Linked DNA regions of Ovis aries. The protein of the gene in region 1 binds, or shares a complex with, the protein of each later gene. Links are inferred from orthologs where the notes say so. Each region holds a gene or a part of one and is shown in the gene's direction. Other genes may lie near its edges. The genes, in order: IL1A and S100A13.

Region 1 (3,827 bases):
CAAGTTATTTTTAAAATAATTCTATTTATTTATGTTTGACTGTTCTGGGTCACTGCTGCGTGGGCTTTTTTCCAGTTGCAGCGAGCAAGCGGTGGTGACTCTTTGTTGCGGTGCTTGGGCTGCTCAATGGGCTGGTTTCTCCTGCTGCAGAGCATGGGCCCTAGGGCGCATGGACTTCAATAGCTGCGGCATGTGAGCTCAGTAGCTGTGGTTCCTGGGCACTAGAGCACAGGCTCAACAGTTGTGGCGTAGGGGCTTAATTGCTCCACAGGAAGTGAGAGCTTCCCAAACTGCCTTGTTAGGGGGATTCTTTACCACTAGGCCACCAGGGAAGCCATGTATTACTTTTTAGATTCTACATGTAAGTAATATCATATAGTACTTGTCTTTCTCTGACTTACTTCACCAAGTATAACAAGGTCTCATTTTTGAGTCTGAAGAGGGATGACAAAAAACCTTGCCAAGATCACATCGTTTGAGGGAAATCCTAAAAGAAGAGGTGGGAGGTAAGAGGGAAAGGGGAGGCATACAGAGGAAAGGGGGAAGGAGAGTCGGGGGAGGGAAAGACCGATGGAACGTGGGTCGCCAAGGCCAAAATGGCCACCCTTCTCTCTAAGACAGTTGAACAAAACTCCTACTGTAAAGGAGTCTTGTTCACTGGCCTCTCAGTTCCTATTTTCCTTTATCGCAGAAGTCCTTCTATGATGCAAGCTATGAGCCACTTCGTGAGGACCACATGAATAAGTTTATGTCCCTGGATACCTCGGAAACCTCCAAGACATCCAGGCTTAGCTTCAAGGAGAATGTGGTGATGGTGACAGCCAATGGCAAGATTCTGAAGAAGAGACGGTTGAGTTTAAATCAGTTCATCACTGATGACGACCTGGAAGCCATTGCCAATGATACCGAAGAAGGTAAGGGGTCAAACAATAATATCCTTGTTTTCTGTTTTCAACAAAATGCAGACAGCAGAGTGTAGGGGGAAATAAAACCTAAAACCAGAGTAACAAGAGGGTAACCACCCATTTGTCTGATAATTATAAGAAATGAAAATTAATTTTTATCCTTCTGCAAAGGGAAGAGAGCAGTAAGTGCTTGAGCTTAGCATATGTGCTCACAGGCTTACTTGGTGGCCATATGATTAAGTCATGTGACTTCTAGCCTATTGGCAGAAAGTAATTATATACTGTTAGTGAGTGACCACTTATAGGTTATGCTATTCCACATACTGGTTATGTCTTGGGCAAGTTACTTAACCTTTCTATGTTCTGGTCTCCTCTACTGTAAATGGAGTTAATCCAAGCCCCTAATTGTTGTGAAGATTAAATGAGTCAACACTTGCTGACTTCTGAACTAAAATAATGCCTGGCACATAGAAAATACCTAATAAATGTTCGCTATTATTGTTGTTATTACTTTTGCTAATACTACAAACACTACTAACTTATTAATGATTGCATTATCTCTAACCTTCACAACAACTCTGCACTCTCATTTTATATGTGAGGAAACTAAGCTCAGTGAGATAGTGACCTGCCCCAAATCTCACAGTCTGTAAGGGTAGAGCATCAAATCATATCAGTTCTACCTGACTATAGATGTCATGAGTTTTCCCCCTTGCCTTTACTGTACAAGCCTCTTCGTGAATTATAAATCTAATATTTTTAAAGTAACAGTTGATCACACGTGTTCACCTAGAAAATTAGAAAATACAAGGAAAAAAATTAAAATTACTCATACCACCCCTCAGAGTTTACCACTGCCAGCACTACATTGCTTTCCTTACAGTCTTTTCTGTGTACATACAGAGTAACAAACATGAAGAACATTCCTAGGATCAACCATGTGCAATTTAATATGCAGCTTTCCTCATTTATCAATACATAAAGGACATTTTAGAGCACCGGTTTTTCACCAATATATGTAATGTGACAATGACTGTCTATATCAATAAATCTTGATTTCTATCATCATTTATTTCCTCAGTGATAAAACATTCCTGTAAGTAAAAGTATTCAGAGCCATGAAGATTTGTAAAGCTTCGAAACATACCACCGTTCAGAAAGGTGGTAGATAGGAAAAAAAAAAAAAAAAAAAACGAAAAAAACTTTTTTAAAGCAAAAAGATGGTAGACATTTATACTGGCACCTCAGTGACATATAAAATTTTTAGTGGATTCTTTTCTCAGGGTGCATTCATTTGAAAATGTAGTTGGAGAATACGAGGAGTCTTCCCGGTTATTTCCAAACCTCCAAACAACCAAAAAAGTTGTACATGTGATCTCTTAAAAAAAACAACAACCACCATTGCCTGAAGAATCAAAGTTTTTAGACTAAGTAACCACAGGGGTAATCCTGGAATCAATTCCGCTGATGGGGTGATTTCACTTCTATGTCAATTTCCTCACCTCCCTTGGGATATTCTTCAGGTGCCTTCAATAACTACTTTGTATGCTTGTATTAGAGCAGATACATCATCCATGTTTGTACTTGGACATTAATCTGAGCTTGTGATAATGGTTTTAGAAATCATCAAGCCCAGATCAGCACATTACAGCTTCCAGAGTAACGTGAAATACAACTTTATGAGAGTCATCCACCAGGAATGCATCCTGAACGACGCCCTCAATCAAAGTATAATTCGAGATATGTCAGGTCCATACCTGACGGCTGCTACATTAAATAATCTGGAGGAGGCAGGTAAATGGACAATTCTGTCATCTCCCCATCTTAAAAAAAAAGATTGATTTGTTTATTTTTGGCTGTGCTGGGTCTTCATTGCTGCAGGAGCTTTTCTCTAGTTGTGGGAAGCAGGGCCTGCCCTCTAGTTGCAGTGCTCTGGCTTCCCGTTATGGTAGCTTCTCTTGCTGGAGAGCATGGGGTTATGGGGGACTCAGCCTTCAGCAGCTGCAGCACAAGGGCTCAATAGTTGTGGTTCCTGGGCTCTCAAGCAGTGGCTAAATAGTTGTCCACCACATGTGAGATCTTCCCGGACCAGGGATCGAACCCTTGTCTCTCGCATTCACAGGCAGATTCTTTTACCGTTGAGCCACCAGGGAAGCCCTCTCCTCACCTTTTTATTTCTGCATTTCTTTTAAGCTTTCTGCTTTTAAAGAATAAACCTCTCTAGATTCCTGGCTTTGCACAGGAAGCACATTTTAATTAAAAAAAAAAAAAAAAAACTTCTGGGTTAGGCCAGAAACTTCAACCAAATCTGAAAGCTTTAACAAGTGTCCTAGCTCTGAAAGCACTAAGTGCAGTAGAAAGCTTTCTGAGGTATTATCTCCCTTGGTTCTCTGAGACACTCTTATCCTCATATTTTAAAGGTAAGGAAACTGAGTCTCAGAAATATATAATGACTTACCCAAATTTACTCAGAAGCCAATGAGGAGCCTTCTCATCAAACTTCCTAATAACACCAAACTAGAAAGAGTCCTTATCTTTGATAACATAATTGTGAGGCAAAGCACCCAATAATTTTAAAGAAAAAAAACAAAACTGGAAGATTTGCATGTGTTCTGAAGAATGAAATTTAGGATCCAAGAAATTCTGTTACACCAAGCCAGCTTCCATGTTGCACATATTTTTAGCTTAAGGACATGTCATCAGTAAACAAAATGATTTTCAGAGATCAAAAGAGGTTACTCTGTGCTAACAAGCAGGGCTATTTCTGATTGGATATATTTCAGCTAATATGCTTTCTACTCTATGACATTCACAAATTATCTTGTGTTCTACAAAATAAATTTTTTTCCTACTTGATATTATTTCACATAATTTTCCCATATATGGACAGAGTATATGTTATTTGCCATTTTTAATGGCCCT
Region 2 (2,481 bases), on another chromosome or scaffold:
CCTTTAATCCTTCTGAGCCTTAACGTCTCATCTGTGAACTGGACTCGTAGTAATACCGTTCTTGTTGGACTGGTCTTGCATTAATTCAGTCAGTGTTTACTGAGTGCCTACTATGTCCTATTCTGACACTGTCCTAGGCTTTGGGTTATAGTAGTGAACAAGCCCCCACTATATGCCAAACACTCTCCCAGGCATTGGTATCATGGTGGTGGACGAGATGGACAAGACCCCTGTGCTCCTTGAGCCTTTCATTCTAGCAGATTATGAAGACTGAATGATGGAAAGCATGTAATATGTTCAGCATAATGCTTGGAACAGTCAGCACTATTAAATGCTTACACTTATTGAAATGTTAGCTTTTATCGCTCTTTTTGGTTTTTCCTAGGTATACAATTATATAATTGCTAATATAACAAGGGGTGAGTTGACATCTTCTTTCTTAACAATTTTACCTTTTGTTTCTTTCTCTTGACTAATTGTATGTCTCCCCTCTCCCTCCCCGCGTTACACTGGCAATTGCTTTCCACTGGCAGTGCTTATAGTATTTTGCAGTTAAGTGTGATTGCGGCCTTTAAAAAAGCCTGTTGAGCTCTTCTGTGAATTAGTTTCGTGCCGTCTATAGATCTGGAAAGCCTTCTTAACCGTCATCCAAACGTTGATTCAGATGTTGGGCATGCGCTGTGCCTGAGGCATGCTTGTCTGGTTCGACATGGGTCCGCCATTCAATAGTCAACTTTTCTGCTGTGGTTATCCATCTGGCAACAAATCCTTTGATCACGGTGGTCCGACTTAGAATAGCCTTAGATTTCACAGGTCTGCTGGGAGAGACTTGGCCAAGGACCCCCTAGAAAACCAGATACCTTGTGTCCTTGCCATTCTCCTGATCTACCAGGCTAGTGACCCGGCTGGAAGAATGAGAAGGGATTAGGGTTATGCAAGCAGGCAGCAAAGTGCTGTGAACTCCTCCAACTTTCTGTGAAGGAGGAGGGTGCCCTGAGAAGACTCTGAGGGTGGTCAGAGGGAGTCCCTGCCTACAAGGGCTCCCCAAGTGTCCTTGGGCTTATCCCAGGGCTGGTGCAGTGATGTGCTGAAGCCTCCTGGCACCTGCAGTTGAAGGCCCATTTGTGCGTCTCTTCCCCACTCTGCGTTCAGGGACATCACATTTATGGTTCACAATCCCCCATGGTGGGTGTATTTAGATCACAGCACACACTATAACGAGGTTCCCCACTTCCATCCTTTGCTTCCGCCTGGTGGAGTTGGGCACCTGGGCAGTGCCATGTTGGGGCTGCAGCTTCATCCAGAAGGTGTGGGGGTAGCCCTCGTGCTCTTTGAGGGACGGGAACAGTGCCTGGCAATTCTTCCCTGTCTCCCTGTGTCAAAACAGTCATTTCTAACTCCACTGTTTGCTGTGGTGTCTCCTCAGGATGTGGGCTCCTTAGATGAGAAGATGAAGAGCTTGGATGTGAATCAGGACTCAGAGCTCAAGTTCAGCGAGTACTGGAGGCTGATTGGGGAGCTGGCAAAGGAGATGAGGAAAGAGAAGGCCCTGGAGATCCGGAAGAAGTGAAGCCAGCTGGTTGGGATGGGGGCCGGCATGGCATGGCTGGGTTGAACCCCACTCCCTTCAAATAAAGCTTTCTCCTTGAAACACAGATGTTGCTTATTCACGCCCATCCTGATTTCTTCTCTTGAGACCAGGGGGGTGGGAAAGCTCTGCCCCCACCTGAGGGCAAGTCCAAAAATTATGAGCACCAACATAATTCGTCTTCAAATACTCTGCACCATCAGGTCTTGAACGGGTAGGTGCTCAGTAATACATGGTTGATGAGTGAATATGTGAAAGGGAGAGTGAGATCTCTGGGACGTGTGAGGGGACTTATATCCCACCAGCTGCTCTGGGGCTTGGCCCTGGCTTTCACTTTCTTATTCCCAGGGTTTGCGTCCTTGGGTGGTAGTGATAGCAGTGAACATGTGTTGAGGGCTTGGTCTGTGCCGGGAATGGTGCTGAGCATTTTCTTGTATTAGTTAATTCTCACAGGCTGTTGAGGTAAGTACTATTTTTAAGTCCTGTATCAAAGATGTGGAAACAGACTTTGGAGAGGTTAAGTCACAAAGACAAGAATAGATGGAACTGGAACTTCCCTGGTGGAGTGGCCGCGTTTCCAATGTGGAGAAATTGGGTTTCATCTCTGGTCGGGGGACTAGATCCCGTATGCTGTTAACTAAAGATCCTGCACAGTGAAGGTCGAAGAGCCCGTGTACCACAACTAAGACCCGGTGCAGCCAAATAAATAATAATAATAAAAAAAGAATAGATGAAACTGGGTTGAAATTCCAGAGCCTCTGTGATGAACTGGGATCCTCTCAGTGGACCCTGTTATCCTTGGCTGGAGAGGCATGCGGTTTATACTATCCGCCACCAGAGGGAGCAGGGGTGGGGCAACTCAGCAGGTGCTGCCTTCCGGGGCCTGGCACCGC

Evidence for each region.
Region 2: the proteins of IL1A (region 1) and S100A13 are in contact, whole or in part, in an NMR structure (PDB 2L5X), measured with the Homo sapiens proteins. The link is inferred for Ovis aries from reciprocal best matches to the Homo sapiens genes IL1A and S100A13. Residues at the interface, in NP_000566.3 of Homo sapiens: Asn148, Gln150, Tyr151, Thr194, Ala195, Gln196, Asp197, Leu203, Leu204, Lys205, Glu206, Met207, Gly216, Ser217, Glu218, Thr219, Asn220, His239; in NP_001019381.1 of Homo sapiens: Met1, Arg25, Gln26, Glu27, Gly28, Arg29, Lys30, Asp31, Ser34, Asp68, Ser69, Glu70, Lys72, Phe73.

The regions. Positions count from the first base shown.
Region 1 is NC_056056.1:60,206,019-60,209,845, forward strand, and holds part of IL1A (interleukin-1 alpha), read left to right. Parts: intron 1-410; exon of another isoform or gene 411-506; intron 507-691; coding exon 692-914; intron 915-2,525; coding exon 2,526-2,699; intron 2,700-3,827. UniProt on the Homo sapiens protein: Cytokine constitutively present intracellularly in nearly all resting non-hematopoietic cells that plays an important role in inflammation and bridges the innate and adaptive immune systems.
Region 2 is NC_056054.1:104,061,975-104,064,455, reverse strand, and holds the end of S100A13 (protein S100-A13), read left to right. Parts: intron 1-1,426; coding exon 1,427-1,570; 3' UTR 1,571-1,655; downstream 1,656-2,481. UniProt on the Homo sapiens protein: Plays a role in the export of proteins that lack a signal peptide and are secreted by an alternative pathway. Binds two calcium ions per subunit. Binds one copper ion. Binding of one copper ion does not interfere with calcium binding.